Stegostoma tigrinum: one gene and its partners. The main gene of each other region encodes a partner of the protein of the gene in region 3 in a complex. Links are inferred from orthologs where the notes say so. Each region holds a gene or a part of one and is shown on either strand. Other genes may lie near its edges. The genes, in order: sema4d, rho guanine nucleotide exchange factor 12-like and plxnb1b.

The links.
Region 1: the proteins of plxnb1b (region 3) and sema4d are in contact, whole or in part, in a crystal structure (PDB 3OL2), measured with the Homo sapiens proteins. The link is inferred for Stegostoma tigrinum from reciprocal best matches to the Homo sapiens genes PLXNB1 and SEMA4D. Residues at the interface, in NP_001123554.1 of Homo sapiens: Leu80, Pro81, Pro82, Glu87, Arg136, Pro137, Gly138, Asp139, Thr140, Tyr142, Gly178, Glu202, Lys205, Ala207, Gly209, Arg210, Ser212, Glu213, Arg235, Arg242, Asp359, Val360, Asn361, Ser362, Leu367, Pro368, Thr371, Tyr375, Ser379, Asp380; in NP_001358123.1 of Homo sapiens: Glu99, Lys100, Gly101, Phe158, Tyr179, Phe181, Leu182, Gly183, Ser184, Arg198, Tyr201, Ile203, Glu208, Val240, Leu264, Arg265, Thr266, Leu267, Gln268, Lys270, Thr347, Gln350, Ser351, His352, Thr353, Asp388, Gln392, Lys395.
Region 2: the proteins of plxnb1b (region 3) and rho guanine nucleotide exchange factor 12-like are in contact, whole or in part, in an NMR structure (PDB 2OS6), measured with the Homo sapiens proteins. The link is inferred for Stegostoma tigrinum from reciprocal best matches to the Homo sapiens genes PLXNB1 and ARHGEF12. Residues at the interface, in NP_001123554.1 of Homo sapiens: Glu2129, Lys2131, Val2132, Thr2133, Asp2134, Leu2135; in NP_056128.1 of Homo sapiens: Phe82, Gly83, Leu84, Thr85, Val86, Ser87, Gly88, Asp89, His127, Val131, Lys135.

Annotation. Positions count from the first base shown.
Region 1 is NC_081356.1:53,945,811-53,953,880, reverse strand, and holds the start of sema4d (semaphorin-4D), read right to left. Parts: upstream 3,095-8,070; 5' UTR 2,644-3,094; intron 1-2,643. UniProt on the Homo sapiens protein: Cell surface receptor for PLXNB1 and PLXNB2 that plays an important role in cell-cell signaling. Regulates GABAergic synapse development. Promotes the development of inhibitory synapses in a PLXNB1-dependent manner.
Region 2 is NC_081385.1:198,203-206,154, forward strand, and holds the start of rho guanine nucleotide exchange factor 12-like, read right to left. Parts: upstream 3,056-7,952; 5' UTR 2,433-3,055; coding exon 2,401-2,432; intron 1,501-2,400; exon of another isoform or gene 1,397-1,500; coding exon of another isoform or gene 1,371-1,396; intron 1-1,370. UniProt on the Homo sapiens protein: May play a role in the regulation of RhoA GTPase by guanine nucleotide-binding alpha-12 (GNA12) and alpha-13 (GNA13). Acts as guanine nucleotide exchange factor (GEF) for RhoA GTPase and may act as GTPase-activating protein (GAP) for GNA12 and GNA13.
Region 3 is NC_081364.1:17,663,220-17,670,691, forward strand, and holds the start of plxnb1b (plexin-B1), read right to left. Parts: upstream 3,134-7,472; 5' UTR 3,046-3,133; coding exon 3,023-3,045; intron 1-3,022. UniProt on the Homo sapiens protein: Receptor for SEMA4D. Plays a role in GABAergic synapse development. Mediates SEMA4A- and SEMA4D-dependent inhibitory synapse development. Plays a role in RHOA activation and subsequent changes of the actin cytoskeleton.

The DNA of each region.
Region 1 (8,070 bases), on a different chromosome or scaffold from region 3:
CAGAACTATTGGAAAAATATTCACTATGCCAAGGAACAGAAAGGTCAAGACAGTAGTTTTGATGGCAAAGGTTTAGTTAATAGCTGAGGAAGAGAGAGACTTTACTTTAAAGAGAAGTAATTCAAAGACGTAAGCAGCTGAAAGAACAGCACAAGATAAATGAAGGGAAGGTACAAGGCCAAAACTAGCAGGCAGTGGTAACGTATCAGATCTGAAGGACAATACAGATAAAGGAAGGGATGTAACCACAGATACATTTACAGATTTTAAATTTGAGCTTGTATGTGAAGGGAATGTATATAAATAGGTTGGCGAGCAACAAGATTTGTTATGAAAACAAACAGGTGGACAAGCTCAGCAAGTTCTAAAAAAGGGTCACCAGACCCAAAGCGTTAACACTGCTTTTTTTTTCTTCACAGGTGCTGCCAGACTTGCTGAGCTTTTCTGGCAATTTTGTTCTTGCTCCTGATTTACAGTATCTGCAGTTCTTTTGGTATTTAAGATTTGTTCTGATTTTGGATGATGTCAACTTGGAGATTGAAGTTCAAGACATTGGCATGGTAGATTTTATTGTAGAAAGCCTAACTGTATTCAAAAACTATCTTCACAGTTAATAAAGCATAATTCAAGATACCATGCATTTTAGTTGAAGCAATTGGAACAAAAGATGAAGGATATTCACGCAGAGTACAAACCATGCAAACCCGAGATTGAAAATCCATTGGAAATAAATCTACTAATCACATTGTAATTATTTGTTTCATTTTTGAACATTTACATGATTTTCACTGCAATGGCAAAGGCTACAAGCTAATTCACATCCTTTCCACAAAAAAAAAACGAAACCCTGGCCAAAATTTTCTCACGCTGAATACCATAACGCTGAAATGACCAAGGGTTACAATGAAAAACTAACAACTTAAAATATATAATGAAAAATTTATGCTTTGTTACTGTCAAAGTAAATCTAACCTATAATTAATAGTAGTAATCAGAACATTAAGGTTTATCATTACAGATTATTGGCAAGTTTATATCTTATAGAATTTGGTAGATTTAAGGAATCTGATGAAATTCATCTAAACCCAATTCTATTTTGGTGGAGTTGTATGGCTGAGGACAAAATCAGGCTATCTCAACATTTAAATAAGTCTGTAAAATCTGAAGATATTCTAATGCCCAAACAAAATAAATTTTCTAGCTTTTCAAGTTGCAAAGAAAAAAATGCAAAAACTGAGAAATCCAAGTTTATCGAAGATTTGCAACTTTAAGATCCTGACTACACCTCTGGAAGGGAAGAATGAATGACTTACTTATGAATGATTCACATTGTCATTTGTATTTAAACTATAGCGAAAAGTTTCAGTAACCAAAATCTGGTACCATTTTGAATAGTTTGAGTAAAAGAATAAAAGATACAACCGAAAAAGAGAGTCTTGAACCTTGACCAGCTCACCAAAGGCAATGGCATTCTAGAGTTGCACTAATATATACATCATTGGTAAACTGCTGAGAACAAATTACTTTTGTCATTTTATGTAACAAACAAATAGGAACAAATTCAGGAACTTTGAAGTGGGTCACCTTCCAATCTCATTTTAACTTTCTCCCCAACCCGGTTGCCGTTACTCTTTAAGCATCAACCAATCCCTCAAAACACCGTGACCAAGAAATGCAGGAAAGTGACCTGTGCCTCGGCCTTTGTTGATGTAGCATTCAAGCTGACTATTCGTAGTCATGGCAGAACAATATGGATCGATTTACGTTTAGAAGAAGAAGGCATTCAGGGCAAGTTCACAGAATCGGTAACTTGGATTACTAATACTACTGGGCAAACTAATACATTACCAGATTTTTTGTAGTGTAATCTACAAATGCGTGGCTTGGACTGTTCTTTGATTTATTTAATTGAAATTAAAACCAAAGGAAAAATGTTCCTTCTTAATCCGTGAAAGTGAAAAACGACGATCTCGTCGACTGTAAATGCATATGCAAAGATTCTTTTTTAAAAAAATAAACCCCATACGTTTTTACTAGAAGCAATTTTTTCTACACATATCGCAACACATGTTTAAAAAGGAAATTAATAACCCAAATCTTTCTCGTTCTTCCGCCTTTCTGAAACGATATCAATGAGAACCATGGGCAAAAAGCAGTCATAATGTGACCATCCTTACTCAGTTGATAAAGCTTTTCAATTCTCAGTTTATAACTGATGCGCCAGACGTAGAAGCTGAACACTGGAGTCACAACAGCGGCATAAAGTTGATGTTTGACCAATTGTTTTGTCTACCCAGAGGACCACGCAATGCAAAATTAACTCCACAAGAGACACAAACACAAAACGTGGCATGACCTGAAACACCTAACTAACTGTTTATCTAAAGTTTGTTGTTTTTAAGAATGCGAACAAGCGCGTGTGGTTTCAGAAAACTACGCTGCAGAGAACCACCGCAGTTACTGCTTGTGAAGTACTTCAAGTCGGCTGGACAAACCGAGACTCGCTTTCTTTACTTAGAAAGCGACACTATTTTTAAAAGGACGAAAGCTCAGTCAGACTTGTGCTGCAACCGCTGCCCCTTAAGTAAAGCATTTTTTAAGGGGGAAAAAACTGTAAAAAGCGGGCGCTGATATATGACTTACCGGAAAAGTGTACAGGAAACGTGCAGCTCTACCTCTCGCAACAAGTCCCACAACCACAACTGACAGTATGGCGGCCAAGGTTGGACTGGAGTTAACTGTAGTGCTTATCAGACCTCCACCATAGGCCGTCCCCGAGCCCCTCTCCAATTCGCTTCCCTTTTCCCACAGCAGGGTTAAAGTAGCAGCTGGGTCCCACAGCTGGATTTACCACTTACAACTGATCCGATCAATCTCGCAGTCCTCTACAAAACATACTCCTTTCACTTCTGTTAATGTTTGCTGCTTAAGCGTGAATGTGCCATGCGACGGTAATTTTTATTGACAAACGAGTGAAACGTCCTTTCGTTTATATTTTCACCTCTGATTTTAAACACGATACATAAGTTTCACCTACTAAGGTAGAGCAAAAGACTCCCAGGAACCTCCTGCAGTGTTAGATTAATGATTTAATTTCCTATTGAGTACATTAGCAGTGACTGGAATGAGCGGTTTTCAGTTCGTAATACTGAGCTCATGTTACACGCTGCCCATATTTTGCTACGTGTGGGAGTTCACCCAATACGACAAACGTGTAAAGTTCTGTACTCATGCTTAATAAAAAGAATTCTCTGGGGCCGGATTTGATTCCCCATCTCTGTCACTTTGGTCTCACAGCTACAGACGAGTAACATGACCCGTACACAGTAGGCTCTTTGTCAATTAAGTTGAGACCAAAATTGCATTTCTTAAGAAATCTAGAAATAAAATTCAATGAACAGCCAAAGCCATAACCAAAGTTAAAACGTCTGCTCAAAAACAGAAGTTGCTGGAAAAGCTCAGCAGATCTGGCAGCATCGGTGTTGAAAAATCAGAGTCCACATTTCGGGTTCAGTGACCCTAAGAACCGATGGTCGCTGGAAAAGTGTTGGTTTGTATGCAGCGCAAAGGATGGGGACGGGGGTAACGTGTAAACAGTAGATAGGGTTGGAGCCCAAGGAGAGACAAACAAAAAGAAACAAAGAAACCTACAGCACTGGAACAGGCCCTTCAGCCCTCCAAGCCTGCGCCGATCAAGATCCTCTGTATAACCTGTCATCTATTTTCTAACGGTCTGTGTCCATTTGCTCCCTGGCCATCCATGTACCTGTCCAAATATATCTTAAAAGACGCTAATGTGTCTGCGCCCACCACCTCCGCTGGCAACGCATTCCAGGTGTCCACCACCCTCTGTGTAAAGAACTTTCCATGCATATCTCTCTTAAACTTTCCTCCTCTCACTTTGAACTCATGAACCCTAGTAATTGAGTCCCCCACTCTGGGAAAAAGCTTTTTGCTATCCACCCTGTCTATAGCCCTCATGACAACAGTAGTTGGATAAACAAAGGAGTTGAAAACGATCTGGCTTGTAAGGTGAATAGCTGCTAATGGGGAATGTTAGCGACTAACAACAGGTAGTGTGTTATGACAGTCTATGTGATGACAAAGCCTGCTGTGTGGAGTAGGGTCTAGGACATGGGAGATTTTAGGCCCTAAAATTATTGAACTTGATATTGAGTCCAAAAAGCTGCAGGGTCCCCAAGTGGAAAATAATGTGTTGATGTTAGATGTTGGCCAGGGAATAGGGTGGTGTGTTAAAGTGGCAGGCAGCTGGAAGCCTTTTTTGTGAGCAGAACCTTGATGTTCTGAGAAGTGGTCACCCAGCCTATGCTTCGTTTCCCCAATCGAGATGAAACCACATTGTGAGCAGCGAATGCAGTAGACTCAATTGTGAGAAGTGCAGCTTCATCTGGAAGGAGATAGTAAGAACTGCCAACGCTGGATTTAGAGATAACACAGTGTGGAGCTGGGGGAACACAGCAGGCCAGGCAGCATCAGAGGAGCAGGAAAGTTGATCTTTCTGTTGGGTTCTGAAGAAAGGTACTGATCCAAAATGTCAACTTTCCTGCTCCTCTGATGCTGCCTGGCCTGCTGTGTTTCTTCAGCTCCACACTATGTTATTTCTTCATCTGAAAGGTACGTTTGGGCCCTTGGTGACTGGGGAGAGAGGTGGTAAATGCTATTTTTTCTATTTGGGCTCTATCCCCACCTATCAATTACTCCTTACCCCCTACCCCACCCTATGTGCTGCATATAAACCTATATTTTCCTAGCTACCATCAGTTCTGAGCAAGGGTTGCCAGATCCAAAATGTTAGCTCTGATTTGTCTTCACAGATGTGCCAGACCTGCTGAGCTTTTCCAGCAAATTCTGTCTTTGTTCCTGATTTACAGCATCTGCAGTTCGTTTGGTTTGTAAAACATTTGTTTGTGTTCATGAACAATCCAGCAGAACACTTGGACCATGTGTTGCAAACTGGCCTTGCAAAACAAAATATTACTATATTGCCCTTTATGTTGTGTGGAATGAAGGAATTACATTTTAACAATAATTTTGGAGCACAGCTCGAAAGGAATTGGTATCATAAACATTCTTCCTTGAAAATAAACAGTTTTTGAAAATAATATTTGGTAACAGCAGTCTGGGCCTATATTACATTTGGATTATTTACAAAGGCAGCAAAAAATTAAATAAGAAAAGCGTAAAGAAATTTGGGGAGTCCACCACTATTTCCATACCTAGTGAAAAAATTAAGGGGTGCCTGTTGTGGGTGTGGTCTGGAGGAATATTGCAGGTAGTAGAAATGGCAATTCTAGATTTGGGGACCAGTAACTTACCAGGGTTATCACATCTGAGCATCAAGAGATGTTGATTAGGAGGTGGACCCATCCACCCTTTGATTTGCTACAGGATGCCAAGCAGTCAATCCAATGGATTGAGTAACCCTCAGGTTGTAAGGCACAGTCAGTTGAAGCTGTAATGAGCCATGTCTCTGTAAAACAGAACACAAACATTCACTTTGTTAGAAAGATTTCTCCTTATAAGACCTAGCAAGTTTTCTCAAGCCTTCTTACCAAACTCTCCTTATTAACAACCTACCAAGACACCATATGGTGTACGTCTTGTCCAGTGCTAGCCCAAAACTACCAACCACCATTACAAGAAGAACTCATCACTGTCAGGATACCCCAGAGTAGACTGGCTTCCCTGGTGCCAGTGTGTGCTTTAAAATACCATTGTGTATTCAGACAAGCATAGTCAGTCCAGAACTGTCCTGCATAGTTCTTAGCAAGAGAAATTGTTACACATTTTCTCATTGCAGCAGGAAATATCACACAATAAAGCATGAAGAGCCAAGCCAAAATCCTGATCTTGACCATCCTATGGGGCTGACTGACTGTGTCCAAGCCAGTGGATGGGTATCTCAGACTGCCTTTGACTTACTGCTTTGGGACCTCCTGGCTGACCAATGTTTCCCATGATTTGACTAATGATTGCTGACAACTGCAAGTTTACTGGCATTGTGCCTATGCTGAATGACAAGGCAATATAACAATCCTGTGATCCTGGTAACTGACTAATGGGGCATACTGCAAAAGAGCAGGGAGGGGCAAGGCAGGGCAGAGATGCTGTGAACATCCAGGTGGGGTCAAAAGTGAGTAAGTGTGAAGAAAGTAAGTCAGCACCGCTGAGATGCAACCTTGTCTAATCATAAGCTTATGTACACATGTAAAGTGTTCTTGCAGCAACATTATCATGATGCATTGATAGACATCCTCTTTGGCCACAGGTAGGGACTGGACAATAGCCAATATTGTCCCATTGTTTAAGAAAGGTAGTAGGGATAATCTGGGAAATTTCAGGCCTGTGAGTCTCACGTCAGTGGTAGGGAAATTATTGCAAAAGATTCTCAGGGACAAGATCTATATGCATTTAAAAGCAAATGGACTATTAACGATTAGTGGTTTTGTGTGGGGGAGGTTGTGCCTCACTAACTTGATTGAGTTTTTTGAGGAGGTGATGAAGATAATTGATGAGGGTAATGCACTTCATTTTGTCTCCATGCGCCTCACTAAAGCCTTTGATGAGGTCTTTAACAGCTAACTGGGTCAAAAGGTGAAGTGATGAAGATGGATGCAGAACTGGCTTAATCATAGGAGACAGAAGGTAGCGGTGGAAGGATGCTTTTTGGAATGGAGGGTCGTGACTAGTGGTGTTCCACAGGGATCAGTGCTGGGACCTCTGCTGTCAGTGCTCTAGATGAATGATTTGGAGGAAAACATGGCTGGTCCAACTAGTAAGTTGGCGGACAATACAAAGATTGGTGGACTAGCAGATAGCAAGGAAGATTGTCAGAGGATACAGTGGGATATAAATCAGTTGGAGGCATGGATGGAAAAATGGCAGACGGAGTTTAATCCAGCCTAATGTGAGATGATGCATTTTGGAAAGTCAAGTACAGGTGGACGTTATACAATGAATGGCAGAACCCTTAGGAATATTGATATGCAGAGGGATCTGGGTGTGCAGGTCCACAGATTGCATGCTTACCTTCATTGGAAGGGGCATTGAGTATAAGAATAGGCAAGTTATGCTGCAGCTTTATAAAACTGTAGTTAGACCACACTTGGAATATTACCTACAGTTCTGGTCACCATGCTATCAGAAGGATGCGGATGCTGTGGTGAGGGTACAGAAAATGTTATCAAAGATGTTGCCAGGTATGGGGGATTTTGACAATAAAGAAAGGTTGGATAGACTGGGTTTGTTTAGACTGGAATGCAAGAGGTTGAGGGGCGACATGATGGAAGTTTGTAAGTTTGTGAATGGCATGGAAAGAGTGGAAAATATGAGGCTTTTTCCCAGGGTGGAGGGGTCAATTACTATTGGACATAGGTTTGATGTGCGGGGCGTGGATGTTTAAAAGAGATGTGTGAGGCAGTTTTACGCGCAAAGTGTGGTTAGTACCTGGAACATGCTGCCAGAGGAGGTGGTGGAGGCAGAAACAATAGCAGCTTTCAAGAAACAGCTGGACAAATACATGAATAAGAAGGGAATAAAGGGATCCAGATCCTGTAAGTGAAGACAGTTTTAGTATGGAAGGGAAAAGCGTGTTGGCGCAGGCTTGGAAGGCTGAAGGGCCTGTTCTTGTGTTGTATTGTTCTTTGTTCTTTGTTCTTTGTTCTTTGATGGTTGCTCATCTGTCTCGAGGTCCAGCATGGCAATACAGAAGCACATTGTAAATGGATTGGATATGTGCCATGGTGATTTGGTGTGTCTGTCACTTGTCAGATGCCAGCATCCATTGATATCTGTTGAACTGGCAGCACGGTGGCTCAGTGGTTAGCACTGTAGCCTCACAGCACTAGGGACCCACGTTCGATTCCAGCCTCGGGCAACTGTCTGTGCGGAGTTTGCACATTGTCCCCATGTCTGCGTGGGTTTTCTCTGGGTGCTCCGGTTTCCTCCCACAGTCCAGAGAAATGCAGGCTAGGTGGATTGGCCATGCTAAATTCCCCATAGTGTTCAGGAGTGTGTGGGTTATAGTGGGATGGGTCTGGGTGGGATGCT
Region 2 (7,952 bases), on a different chromosome or scaffold from region 3:
CTCTCTCCCTATTTATTCCAGTTCCCTCCCCCATCCCCCTCTCTGATGAAGGGTCCAGGCCCGAAACGTCAGCTTTTGTGCTCCTGAGATGCTGCTTGGCCTGCTGTGTTCATCCAGCCTCACATTTTATTATCTTGGAATCTCCAGCATCTGCAGTTCCCATTATCTCTCATTCTGAATAGTGCCTTCTGGAGCCGACTGAGTTGAAAAGCAGAATTCTATGATACAGATCCCACAGGAGAGGCCTGGCTGGGAATAAGTGGCAAGGTCTACTACTGTACAGGGGTCACTAGTGATGACTCAGGACACTGATACAAAGTGGAATCTCCTCCCATTGAGTTGCAGTGGGTGTAATAATCCTCTATCCACACACCTACTAAAAAGGTAGATTATTGCAGCCGGAATTGGGCTTGATTCAACCAGGTTTGGGTTCTGTAGTTTCAGCCAGAAAGATTACCACTCAGTTCCTGATGTGTGAAGACACAACCAAGTCAACAGCTCAGTGGCCCTTAACAATCACCTTAAACTGCTGGAATGTTCCCTTCACTATCAAACCGATAATGTCTGGTCGGTCTCAATCAGCTGTTTCATTCTCCGGAAAATCAGTTCCCATTTTACTGCTTCCTGATCAAAAGTTTGCAATCTGATTGGCTGCTTTCGAGCAAAAGCAGATATTATTCCACATGGAACTGCTCTTGTTCCTGAATCTTACTCAGAAGTTCTTCGCATCAACTGGGTCTTTCACACTGAAGAGGTCCCAATACGTTATGCAAACATTTTTTTCATACAATATTATTGTGAATCACGCACAACAATCAATTACAGAAACCCCTTCTAATTGGTCACAGCCCTAAATGTTCCTCAGAAATCTCCACATTCTGCCCAATTTTTGCACTATTCCACTCTGGGCATCTAGTGAAATAACAGTTACATCACGTTCACCAGCAGCGAGTATACTACTTTGCTGTTTCCTATGAATTCATCTCTCCAGAAGTCCCAGTAGACAGGGTGCTCGGTCTGTCTCCCTCACATTAACCTATCCTTCATGATTTTGAAAGATTCTGGCAAGTTCTGAGGAAGGGTCACCAGACCTCTCTGATGAAGGGTCTAGGCCCGAAACGTCAGCTTTTGTGCTCCCGAGATGCTGCTTGGCCTGCTGTGTTCATCCAGCCTCACATTTTATTATCTTGATTATTTATGAGCAGTTTGTGAAATCCCAAACTTCATCCAACTCAAGGAAGTAGTAAAAGATCCATCTCCCATAGTATACTGGTTGATTATTCCACTCTGCAACAAGACTGACAGATCAAAATAGCCACACCTTGTTTTTGTTCAACATTTCAGGACAATGCTAAACTCTATCTCCTTACCAATCCCTGGATTGTGGAGTGCTCATCCTGCCAGTGAGTCAATGATTCCATGGAATTTTCCATCGAACATGTGTGCTCTGAATTAGAAACTCTTCCAGTGGGCCCCAACACCTCACCTGCAAATCAGCTACTGTAACAGGGTAGGAAGAGCAGGGTGGGAACATAACGTGAAACCAAACAGCAAACTCACCAGTGTTATATTATACTATGATCCAGTATAGTTAGTATTCAAGGTTTATGACTGTTTTTCATTCTAGTCCCTGACATTAGTTATTATCTAACTGCTTTGGGATTTGACTGTTCGCCAATACCCATGCAGACAAAGAATTGAAACTGTGAACTATAGCTTCCAAAATACCATTAATTATCTCTCAGATTTAGCAAACTAAAAGCGAATGTTACTGATCCTGTCACCATTACTGTCTGGTTCCTAGGATAAGTTTATCTTAACACAGATGCTAATCAGCCCTTCAAACTTGTTCAACTCTTCACAAGGTGCCCAATATTTTTCCTCATAATCCTGCATTTTTTTCCTTTCCATGAATCGTGCAATTACCTTTTAAAAGTTATTGAATATGCCTTCATCACCCATTTAAAACTATAAAATTTTTATTGCATCCCACCCCCAAAACAAGTTATTTTCTGAAAAATCTGAAAGCCTCTGGACTCGCAACCCTCTTGCTCGGTCTGTCTCCCTCACATTAACCTATCCTTCATGATTTTGAAAGATTCTGGCAAGTTCTGAGGAAGGGTCACCAGACCTGAAACGTTAAGTCTGGTTTCTCCTCCACAGATGCTGCCAGAGTTGAGTTTTTCCAGCAACTTTGTTTTTGCTCTTAACCTTGTCTGCTCCAAGGTGAACAATCCCAGCTTCTCCAGCACAAGTCCTGGCACCACTGTCGAGAATCTCTGCATCCTCTCCACCCGCTTGCTCTTCCCAGGACTATCAGTGAGATTAATACAGGCCACAATAAGAATATGATCACCCAGGTAACTATCTCCAGTCGGGTTTTTAAAGCACCTCTCTTACCTCTCACTCAGGCCGGACGGTGTAACGCTCATTTGGCTCCTCTCAATGATTCCAAGTTTATCCAATTCTCATTTTCTCCTCCGCAATCGTCCCCGAGTTTTCCGCCGCTCCCGGCCGAGATCTAAATGCGGGACAGCCGACCTTCGGAGTGCTCCAGGGGCCGCCGCTTCTGGCGGTTCACAGGCGTCTCCAGGAGCGAACACCCATCCCCGGGTCCGGGGCCAAAACTGAAACCGGGGCTGCAGCCTCCCGGAGGGGAAACAGTGGGCCAAACCGGGATCAGGATCCACTCAGAAACAAAGTATCCGCAAGGAAGAAAAGCAATAAAATGCAGCAATGTATCAGGAAAGTAGCAGATTGTATCCCAAAGTATCCCGGGCTCTCGGCTCCGGGCCTCGGGCTCTCCTTGGCTCCGGGCCCCGGTCACTGGCTCCGGGCCTCGGACTCTCCCCAGCTCCGGACCCGTCTCCCGGATACTCAGTCCCGGTCAGTTGGACCCCGGGCCGTGTCTCTTGCCCCGGTCAGTTAGTCGCTGTCAGTGTCTGGGTGTGGGGTCCCCCGCCCCCGGACAGTGTCCCCGCTCCCGGTGCCGGTTGTTACTTTGTTACTTCACTCGAGCCGCTTCACCTCCGCCCTCCATCCGCCGCCGCCGCCTCGCCGCCTCCAGACCTACTCCGCGCAAAGTAATCCTATGCACCAACACTTCCTTCCTAACCCGGAATCAAACACGCTACCCACCCGCAGTCAGTCCAGCACTAAACCTGGAATCAATGCTGCCCTGCCCCGGACTCAAGTATATCCCAGAACATTGTGGGAATATACGCAAGAAATTGCAGAGTCCGTAGCATAGACAGCTACGGATAAGGCCCCAGCAGACTGATGGGTGGCTAATGTTGTGCCATCGTTTACGAAAGGCTGCAAAGAAAAGCCAGCAAACTACAGACCAACGAGTCTGACATCAGTAGTGGGTGAATTGTTGGAAGTGATTCTGAGAGACAGAATAATTTTATGTGCATTTGAAAAGGCAACGACTGACGAGCGATAGTCAGCCTGGCTTTGTGTGTGGGAAATCATGACTCACAAACTTGATTCAGTTTTTTGAAGAGGTGACCAAGGAGATAGATGAAGACAGAGCAATGAACGTAGTCTACATGGACTTTAGCAAGGCCTTCAACAAGCCACCACAAGCTAGATTTGTTAGTAAGGTTAGATCACATGGAATCCAGAGAAAGCCAGCTAATTGAATACAACATTGGCTTGACGACAGGAAACCTGAGGGTGAGGTCCTGGAGAGTTGTTGTTCAGACTGGAGCCCTGTAACCAGCAGTGCACCACAAGGATCAATGCTGGGTTCACTGTTGTTCGTCATTTAAAAAAAAACAATCTGGATGAGAATTTGGGAGACGTGGTTAGAAAGTTTGTGGATGACACCAAAATTGATGGTATAGTGGACTGTGGAGGTCACATAAGAGTACAATGGACTTGACCATTGGACCAAAGAATGGCAGATTGAGTTTAATGTATATAAAAGAGGTGTGCTGCATTTTGGTAAGACAAACCAGAGCAGGACTTGTACAGTTAATGATAGGGCCCTGGGGAGTGTTTTCAAAGGGGGAAAATGGTGTCACAAGTAGACATGGTGGTGAAGATGGCAGTTGGCACACTTGCCTTCATTGGTCAGCGCATTGAGAACAGGAGTTGGGATGTCATGTTGCCGTTCTACAAAATATTGTCAAGGCTACGTGTGGAGAACTATATACAATTGTGGTCACCCTGTGGTAGGAAGGATGTTATTAAATTGGAAAGGGTGCAAAAAAGATTTGCAAGAATGTTACCAAGACTGGAGGGGTTGAGTCATAGGGAGAGGCTGGGGCTATTCTCCCTGTGTCCATGTAGCAGACTGAGGGGTGACCTGACCGAGGTTTATAAAAGACGCATCAATAAAATGAAGAGGCAAGGTCTTTTCCCGACGTTATGAAGTCTATAACTAGAGGGCATAGGTTTAAGATGAGGGGGGAAAGATTTAAAAGTGACCTGAGAGGCATCTTTTTCACACAGAGGGTGGGATGTACAAGAAATAAGCTGCTAGGGGAAGTGGTGGAGGCTGGTACAATTCCAACATTTAAGAGGCACCTGGATGGGTACAGCAATGGGGCCTAGTTCAGTTTTGGAAACCTGGTCAGCATGGATGAGTTGGATCAAAGGGTTTGCTTTCATGCTCTATGACTCAATGACTCCACGACACTAGTCAATTAGTCCCACTCCAAACTCCAGCCAATCATGTACCAAAGCCTGAGTCTGTCCCACTCCAAACTTGGAGTCAATCCTGTACCAAACCTGAACTTAATCCCCTTCCTGACCCGATTCAGTCTTGGACCAATGCTGGAATCAGTCTTGCTCCACATCCAGACTCAGTCCCACTCCAAAAATGAGTCAATCCCCAGCAAATCAGAAATCAATCTGCTTCCACACCCAGGATAAATCTCGCTCCAAACCCAGAGTCCCTTTTGCTGGGAAGTGCCGTGAGTTATTGATCCAAAAATGTTTCCTAATCCCAAACTTCAGTCCTTCCCCATTCCTTGAGAAAGATTTGGTTCCCTTCTAGTTTGATTGACAATAGACAATAGGTGCTGAAGTAGGCCATTCAGCCCTTCAATCCAGCACCACCATTCATTATGATCATGGCTGATCATCCGCAACCAGTATCCTGTTCCTCCCTTATCCCCATAACCCTTGATTCCACTATCTTTAAGAGCTCTATCTATCTCCTTCTTGAAAGTATCCAGAAAGTTGGTCTCCACTGCCTTCTGGGGCAGAGCATTCCATATATCCACCACTCTCTGGGTGAAGAAGTTTTTCCTCAACTCTGTTCTAAATGGCCTACCCCTTATTTTTAAACTGTGTCCTCTGGTTCTGGACTCACCCATCAGCAGAAACATGCTTCCTGCCTCCAGAGTGTCCAATCCCTTAATAATCTTATACGCCTCAATCAGATCCCCTCTCATCCTTCTAAACTCAAGTGTATACAAGCCCAGTCGCTCCAATCTTTCAACATATGGTAATCCCACCATTCCGGGAATTGGTTCAGAGATGCCTGATAAGTCTAATAGCTGACCTGCAGAATGTGAGGCAGCTGAGGTGTTTGGAAGTTTGGGTACTCCCTCCAACACCTCTATTTTGTGACTACACTTTCCTCACTTTCTGAAATCTCCACTGGATCTGAGACATCGACAACTCAGAAACCCCTCCGCCCAGGACCTGGCAGTATTCAGGATGTGTCGGTTCTATTGAATGTTTCCACCAAAATGTGCTGTGTTCATATTGGGAATTGCAGAACATGAACTAGTGAAAGGACTGCAAAAACAGTCCAGACAGCGTTATTCAGTTACAAGGGACTTTACAATTGAGATATGTAAAAATTAAGGATTACTCTAAAACAAGCATGAATCACATCAGTATCCTGGTTCTGCTCTCTCTGCTGACTAACTCTTCCCTCTGAAGACTACACATGATCTTGACTCCTGAGACGAAAGCTTTGAGAGTATATCTTACGCAAAAGTGTTTAATTACCAACATCTTTGACTATGATAGTGGCACAAAGAAATGGGTGGCACAGTAACTCAGTGGTTAGTACTGCGGCCTCACAGTACCAGGGGCTGGGGTTCAAATTCACCCTCAGGCAACCGTCTGTGTGGAGTTTGCACATTCTCCCCATGTCTGCATGGGTTCCCTCCTGGGTGTTTCAGTTTACTCCCCCAGTTAAGGATGTCGGGATTCTACAAATACATTAAGGACAAAAGGGTAACTATGGAGAGAACAAGGATCCTTAAAGATCAGCAAGGCCCCCCATGTATGAAACCGCAGAAGATGGGGAAGATATTCTGATTTTGAACAAGTATTTTGCATCAGTATTTACTGTGGAGTGGAAATTCAAGCTAGAGAACTTGGGGAAATAAATAGGCACATTTTGAAAAATGTCCACATTACAGAAGAGGTGGTACTGGATTTCCTAAAATGCATAAAGATGGATAAACCTCCAGGACTTGATTAGGTGTACCCTAGAACTCTGTGAGAAGCGAGGGAAGAGATTGCTGGGCCCCTAGCTGAGATATTTGTATCATTGATAGCCACAGGTGAGGTGACGAACAACCGGAGGTTGGCTAACGTGGTGCCACTATTTACGAAAGGTGATAAAGAAAAGCCAGGGAACTATAGGCCGGTGAGCCTGACATTGGCAGTGGGCAAGTTGTTGGAGGGGATCTTGAGGGACAGGACTTACATGTATTTGGAAGGGTAAAGACTGCTTAGGGATAGTCAACATAGCTTTGTGCGTGGGATGATTGAAGGCAAAGTGGAAGACATGATCTATATGAGCTTCAGTAAGGCATTCGACAAGGTTCCACATGATAGATTGGTTAGCAGGGATAGATTACGTGGAAAACGGGAATCAACCATTTGGATACAGAACTGGCTCAAAGGTAGGAGACAGACGGTGTTGGTGGGGTGTTGCTTTTCAGACTGGTGACCTGTGACCAGCTGTGTGCCACTAGGATCGATGCTGGGTCCACTGCTTTTCATCAGTTTATATAAATGATTTGGATGTGAACATAGGAGATATGATTTACAGGTGACACCAAATCTGGAGGTGTAGTGGACAGCGAAGAAGGTTACCCCAGAGTACAACGGGACCTTGATCAGATGGGCAAATGGGCCAAGGAGTGGCAGATTGAATTTAATTTAAATAAATGTGAGGTGCTGCATTTTGGAAAGGCAAATCAGAGTAGAATTATACACTTAATGGTAAGATCCTACAGACTGTTGCTGAACAAAGAGGCCTTGGAGTGCAGGTTCATAGTTCCTTGAAAGTAGAGTTGGAGATAGACAGGGTAGTGAAGAAGGCATTTGGTATGCTTACCTTTATTGGTCATTGCATTGAATATAGGAGTTGGGAGGTCATGTTGTGGCTATACAGGATTAAGCCACTGTTGGAATACTGCATTCAATTCTGGTCTCCCTGCTACAGGAAGGACGTTGTGAAACTTGAAAGGGCTTGGAAAAGATTTACCAATGTGTTGCTAGGGTTGGAGGGTTTGAGCTATAGGGAGAGGCTGAAATAGGCTGGGACTATTTTCCCTGGAGCATTGGAGGCTGAGGGGTGACCTTATAGAAGTTTATAAATTCATGTGGGACATAGATAGGTTGAATAGCCGAGGTCTTGTCCCCAAGCTAGTGGAGTCCAAAACTAGATGGCATAGGTTTAAGGTGAGAGGGGTAACATTTAAAAGGGACCTAAGGGGCAAGTTTTTCACACAAAGGGTGGTGTGTGTGTAGAATGAGCAGCCAGAGGAAGTGATGGAGACTGGTCCAATTACAACACTTAAAGCCATTTGGATGGGTACATGAATAGGAAGGGTTTAGAGGGATATAGGGCAAATGCTGGCAAATGTTAATTTAGGATATCTAGTCAATATGGTCAAGTTGGACCAAAAGGTCTATTTCCATGCTGTATAACTCTATGACTCGATGCAGGTTAGATGGATTGACCGTAAATT
Region 3 (7,472 bases):
ACTTGTCCTATGCCTACAAGATTAAAGTGTGCACATTTAAATCAGGCAAGTCTCAGATTTAAATTGTGCTTTTCACAACCTCCACACCTCCAACAGCATTTCACTGACTCAGCATTGCTGTGATGCAGGAAAAGGTGGCAGCCAAATGGAATGTCACAAGCAAATAAAAACCGAAAGAACTGTGGATGCTGTAAATCAGGAACAAAAACAAAAGTTGCTCAAAAAGCTCAGCAGGTCTGGCAGCATCTGTGGAGGAGAAACCAGAGTTAACGTTTCGGGTCCGGTGAGCCTTCCGCAGAACTGATGGTGGCTGGGAAAGCATCAGTTTATATGCAGAAAGTAAGGAGATGGGTGGGGTAGGGAGTAAATGATAGGATAGAGCCCAAAGAGAGAGAAAGGCAGTCGCACAGTCAAAGGAGTTGCTAACGATCAGGCTGGGAGGGTGAATAGTTGTTAATGGGGACTGTCAGTGGCCAACAATAGGGAGTGTGTAATGGCAGGCTATGTGGCAACAAGGCCTGGTGTGTGGGGTTGGGGGCTGGGACATGGGGGAGTTTAGACCTTAAAATTATCGAACTCAATATTGAGTCCGGAGGGCTGTAGGGTCCTCAGGTGGAAAATGAGGTGCTGTTCCTCCAGCTTGCGTTGGGCTTCACTGGAACATTGCAACAAGCCAGAGACAAAGAAATTGGCCAAGGAGCAGGATGGTACATTGAAGTGACAGGCAACAAATAGTTCAAGATCTTTTCTGCGAGCAGAACGTAGATGTTCTATGAAGTGGTCACCAAGTCTACACTTCGTTTCCCCAACGTACAGGAGACCACATTGCGAGCAGCAAATGCAGTGGACTGGATTCTGGCAAGTGCAGGTGGTGTTGCTTCCCCTAGATGATGTTTCAGCCTTTCGATGCTGGGGAGGGAGGAGGTAAGTGGGCAGGTGCTGCACCTTCGCCGGTTACAGGGAAAGGTGCCGTGGGGCTGTCAGGAGGCGTTGGGGGTGAAGGATGTGTGGATCAGGGTGTCCTGGAGGGAACGGTCCCTGCAGGAGGAGGACAAAGGAGGGGAAGGGAATGTCTTTGTCTGGTGATGGCATCTCACTGGAGGTGGTGGAAAACGGTGTCTGTTGATCTTCTGAATGTGGATGCTGGTGGGAGAGTAGGTGAGGATAAGGGGAACCCGGTCACTGTTGCCGGAGGGAAGAGAAGAGGTGAGGGCGGAAGTGCGGGAGATAGGTCAGACCTGGTTGAGGGCCCTGTCGACAATGGAATATCACAACCGTCAAGAGCATCAGAAAGGTTTCACGAACACCAAGCGATCACAGCCAGGTAATCTGTGTTAGCTGTTGGCTAAGGAAAACAAAATGGCCAAGATTACATAACTTTTCCACATTAGACTGCCATTGGATCCTTTACGTTATTCTGCACCTAAAGTCAAATCAAGAGATGGCCACAGGTGAGCAAAAGCAGACTCAAACTTTCTTACTTTTCAGAAATTGACTCCTCTGTGGGATGTGGGTACTGCCGTAGTGAGGTCAGCACTTATTCATACCTAATTAGGGAGGGAGCGATGAGCTGCCTCCTTGAACTACTGCAGTCCATGTGATGTGAGGACATCCACAGTGCTGTGTGAACAACAAAAATGGCTACAGCTGTTGGACAAGGTCATCTGAGTGAACCTGTTTGATGCCTACTATAATGGTGATAGCTACTCTGTGTTGTATGAGAAAAAACAGGGAACATCACAGTGGTTACATGAAAAGGTCTGGTAATCCAAAAGGTCTGGATGAATAACTCAGAGAATGAAAGCTTAAATTAGGGCCACTTGAGAATGTTTTGAGGCCATCTTGAAACTAGAAAGTTCATAATGGCCGTGAAACTGTCCCTTTCGTGAAAGGAGCCTGTCATCTTCCTGTCTGAATTGTACCTAACACCAGTCCAAAGTCAACGTCATTGCTGTATTCAAGAAATTTATACAGCACATTTTACACACTATCTTCCACTTAGAATTTATGGAATTCAAAATTCAACTTGTTTTCGCACACAATGTTGCACCCTTGGGTTCATCAATGATGATATCTTAATGTTTAGACCACACATTTTGTGTAAAGCACACAGAGCAAGGACAAAACATTTCATGTTGAAAATGTCAGAAAGTGCAAGAGAAATAAACTTTTCTCGATACCCCTCTCCGAGGTGCCTCATTACAATGTCCAGCGTCTATATTCCTTTTGAGGAACACAGCCAAGGTGTCCCTTAGTGTACCACTGCTGTTAGCCCAGAAACAGCATCTGTGCCCTAGTGTGCACCTCTGTGGAGCTGCTTCTAGCTTCAGTACATCCCTTAACATGTAATCCGGGACGTTTCCACATGCCAGTTTGCAACACTCAGTTGATGACAACATTTCGCATCGAAGACCCACTGTCTTCTGGAATGGCCTAGAAAACAACCCAGCTAAGGTTAAATATCAGGATCAGCTATTAAAACTGATCTTACTAGCGTCATTCATATCCAAAAGAGTAAACATATTAAAAAAGTCAACAAGCACATCTCTAACAGTTAGACACTGGGTCCGTGAGGCTACTACTACATTTTGCATTTTAATTCCTTTGTTCTGTAGTGGGACGAGGCAGAACAGATCTGCTTCTCTGAAGCTAATCTCTCACCCAGAGACAATTCAGATAAGATGGGGACAGAAGCATTGGTGACTTTTAAAAGCTGTCTAGCTCAAAGCTGAACCTGCAGTAAGCTTCGATGGTGCTCAAAGGACAGCAGTTTTATAATTGTTATTTAGTTTCCACCACAGGTAACTGCATGGCTAAGATTCTGTGACAATACTGTATTGCAGGGCCAACCCTCTTCAAAAGAAGAGTGCCAGAATTAAAAACTTGCAAGGCATTTTACACAGAAGAACCTGATATTTTGTACAAACACAGCAACATGCAGGTGGCATATGGCAGCAACAAGGATGCCACACAATATACTCAGTCAGAGAATTGCTGATCACTGATGAACACATATGCTCACCTCCATCTCCACAGCTCCAGCATCACGGTGTCTAAGTCAGGAAGCCAGCAAGTTGCTAAGTTACGGATGATCAGCAAGGTCAAAGGCCGACAGCTGTGAATGACTCACTCATTCACAATGTGACCAACCTGATCCTACACAACAAGGAATGCAGAGCTTAATTAGCTTCCTAAACCACAAAAGCAAGTAAGTCTCAGAAAGAAAATCTTCAGCAGAGAAAAAAAGAGCTGAAAGACCTGTAAACTGGGTCACCTTCAAAGCATGAGTCTGAAGTCATAAGAATAAGGCAAGAGGCATGCAAGCCAAAACAGAACCTGCAATAAAAGAATAGACAAGTTCAAAATTGCCTCTCTCATATTATGCAATTGATCCCCCAAGGAAACCCTTGTGGATTTTTTTAAACATGCATTTATCTTGCTGCTTTAAAAAGATGCAAGTGTGTTTTTTTGTGAGAATCAATAAGAAACTGACGGCCCTTCAGATTCACAAAACCACTATCTGCACTAATACATTCAGGTGGAACGCACATTCTCCAGATGCCATTAGGGCAGTTCACAAAAAGCTATGCTCCTGTTACAGTAGCTGCTCGGGGCACGCGTTCTCCAGACACAAGCCACTTACAACCCAAATGTGCACTTACTGCAACTTGTTGTGTACTTTGCAGCCAACAGAAGGGGTTTCAGCAAAAAAAACCAAGTCAGTAAGCGTTTATTCTAGAGATAATAGGAACTGCAGATGCCAGAGAATCCTCAAACTTTGCCTTGCCTTGCAAATGCACATGCCCCGTGGTAGAATAGCTCAAAGCATCCACCTAAGTAGGCAGGTCACAGAAATCTCAACAGCTTGTCTGTCAGGACTACCTTCAACATACAGTCTTGTCCTAAAGCAACGTTATCAAACAAAACCTGATAGTGAGCCACACAGAAAGATATTGGGTCAGATGTGCAATATCCTGCAGTAAGGTCAGCTTTTAATGAACATTACAAGGGAGGAAAGAGGTGGGGAGGGAGGACAGGGGATTTCCAGAGTTTACAGCAGAGTTCAGCCAATAGCATATATTCAGCAGGAGATGGATATAGGAAGGATCCTACTAAATTGGAGAAAATATTTAGAAGGATATTATTGGGAATGGAGGGTTTGAGTTGTAAGGGGAGGTTGGATAGCCGGGACATTTTTTGGGGTGATCTCATATAGGGGTTTATAACATCATGAGGGGCATAGGTGAGCTGAATAGCAAGCGTCTTTCCCCTAAGGCAGGAGAGTTCAAAACGAGCAGGCATATTTTTAAGGTGAGAGGATTTAGAAAGGACCTGAGGGGCAACTTTTTGACATCGAAGGTGGTTTTATGTGGAATGAACTGCTGGAGGAAGTGGTAGATGCAGGTACAGTTACAACATCTAAAAGACAGGTACATGAATAGATTGGGAGAGATATGGGCCAAATGCAAATAAAAGGGAATAGTTTAGTTTGGGAAACTTGGTCAGCATGGACTGGTTGGACCAAAGGGTCTGTTTTCGTGCTGCATGACTGACTCTATAACGGCAGGAGTGAAAGCTTCTTAGAGCTTTGCAGGGCCGGAGAAGATTACAGAGATGGTGACACAGAGACAGGTATGAGAGAATTCAGTCAGGGTCTGTCTTGTAACACAGAATCTGGAGCTGGTTCCTTCGAAGTAGAAGTTCACATGAGCTATGCAGGCTGAGCTTGGAACTCGAAGACTCAGTGAGGATTCCAAGTGTTGCAGCAGTCATCTCTCCCCACTGGACCTTCCTTTCAGATCTATCTCACGTCGACACTCGATGGGAATCTCAATGTGCTTACTAACTAGTGACCTGAAAATCCGACTTGAGGAGCAAAAAAAAAATGGAACGACTGCTATCTCTGAGCGACTGCAACCCTCCCCAAAGTTCAGACATCTCGTGGAAGGCAGGGCACTTTGAATGACAAGATCGATGGAAGCACTCATTGAGGTTCAAGCAAACACTATATCCATTTCTCCACAGGGATTAGTGATGGAGACTCAATTGCTTACAATCAATGTGAAAAACTTGGATAAAGGGACCAAATGTGAAATTACAAAATTGCGGGAGACACAGAGATGGATGCAAGAAAAGTCATGCAGAGGGCACAAGGAGTTTGCAAACAGGGATATCGTTAAGTAAGGGGCAAAGTTTGGAAACTGCAATGTAACGTGAGAAGATGTGAACTTGTCCACTGCAGCAATAAATATCTAAAAGCAGCATATTATTTGAATGCAGACACAGAAGAGCTCTGAGGGACAGAGTAATCAGTGTTCCGATACATGAATTACAAAATGTTAGGATGCAAGTACAAATGATTAGAAAAACAAATGTAATGTTGTTTCTTGCAAGGCAAATAGAATATAACAGTAGGGAAGGTTTGTCACAGCTGCACAGAGCATTGGTCACAGCTACAGTGTAACAAGAGCTTGATAACTTAGAGCTCATTGGACTGGAAGCTTGTCACTGAATGGGTACAGTACACGTCACAGTTAGTCTGCAATTGATTAAAGTGTCTAAGAATGCAGTGTGCTCAATTGAGATACGTTGTATTTTATTGCATTTTCCGTAATGACTAGTTTGAAATGTTCTGGAATGTACCTTTTACCACTCTAGTAACAATATATATTTTTGCAAAAGTGTTTTTTAAAAATTGGTTAGAGGATATCTGCGATACTGTGCATGGTTTTTAAGGAAGTGCGGAAAAGACTGGAAGTCTGAGGTACATCTTGACAGGACAGTTTGGACTGTATCCATCGAGGTTTGAAAGGTGATCTTATTTTGATAAAAAATACTACGAGACTTGACAGGATGGGTGTTGAAAGGATGCTTTCCTTGTGGGAGAGACTCGAGCTTGAGGTCATTTTAAAAATGTGGTGTCCCATTTAAAGGTAGTGATGTGGTGAATTTATTTCCCTCAAGAGGCCGATAGTCTACAGAATTGTCTTGCCGAGACGGGAGGACGGGATCATTGGATTTTTTTTTAAAAAGGTGGATTTTAAAGTCTTGACTGACAAAGGAGCCAAAGACTATGAGCAGCATGCTGGAAAGTAGAAGTCACAATCGAGATTAATATCTTTGAACAGGTTGGTAAGAAAGCATCTTCAATCCAACAAACCAGGATCTTATCGATTTACAGAGCAGGCTCAAGGGACCAAATGGCTGAGATAACACGGTGTGAAGCTGGATGAACATAGCAGGCCAAGCAGCAGAGGAGCGGGAAAGCTGATGTTTCGGGCCGAGACCCTTCTTCAGAAATCACATGCCTGATTCCATTTGCTCCCGATTCACATATCCCCCTCCGTCTCCGTTTCCCTGCCTCTCCGCTTCTCTATCCTTTTAAAAGATGATTGTTAAAACTTGTCCTAGACCTAGCTGTGGATTTCAGATATCCCAGCCCCTCACTCTGTGGTTCTGCGTCGTTTTGTTTGACTGTTTCTGTGAAATGCCTTGGAATGTTTTGTCACACTAAAGGCGCAGTGCGTACCTGTTGCGGAATACCCGCCCCTGCCTGTATGCTACAACATTTCACATTTCAGTCCCTTCCTGAGCTAATCTCCAAGCCAACCTGAAGATATGGTGACGACTCCAAACAAAAAGGTGCAAGTTTCATATGGTTAGCAGCTTGTTGGATGAATGAGTTGGAAGAAGCAATATTGGTGGCAGACTAGCCCCAGGGAATTCTGCTTAACCACTTACTTATTGAAGCTTTACTACAATGTAAATATGCTAATAACAAAAAAAAAATCACATTTCAGTGTTTGATCCATTTATTTGTCCCGACTTGCATGAATCTAACGTAACCTAATAAACCTCCTTTGTTCATATCTTACTCCACCCATCAGCAACTATAAAAAGAGCTGTCTCAGTAACAGAAGCTAACTTTTCTCCAGAACCATTTGCCTTGAGGTTGTTAGTTTGAGCCCTTCAAACAAAGGGATAACACAGACTTGACTAGTGGCAGCATGCAGGTGTCATCTAACATCGTATATTTGCGCAGCACCTGCATTGTGGTAATTCAAGGAAACCACACGGTTAGCCATTTGTTGGCAAACACTATTTTTCTCTGGAAGATATTTCATTGATGAATAGGCTCCTTGATGATACATGAAAGCCACACTCCTGTTTTTTTCGCCCCCATCCTCAAGTTCAAACCATTTTCAGTCCAATTAAAAGGTTTCAGTAACCCAGTAGCCAGGCAAACAGAGACAGCAGCAACCACTCAAGTGGTTACCAAGGTGATCAGTACAATCCAAGAGAGAAAGCAGCAGTACAGATTAAACAGCATCTTTATTATACACATCTGAGAATCTCAAAGGACCCATCCTAAGCAAACATGTCAGCAACAGAGCATCAAAAGCTAGAAACAGCCCTCCCTCAGTCCTTGTGTCAGAATGACTACTTTCCCAAACCAGCTGCAGCCTAGAAAA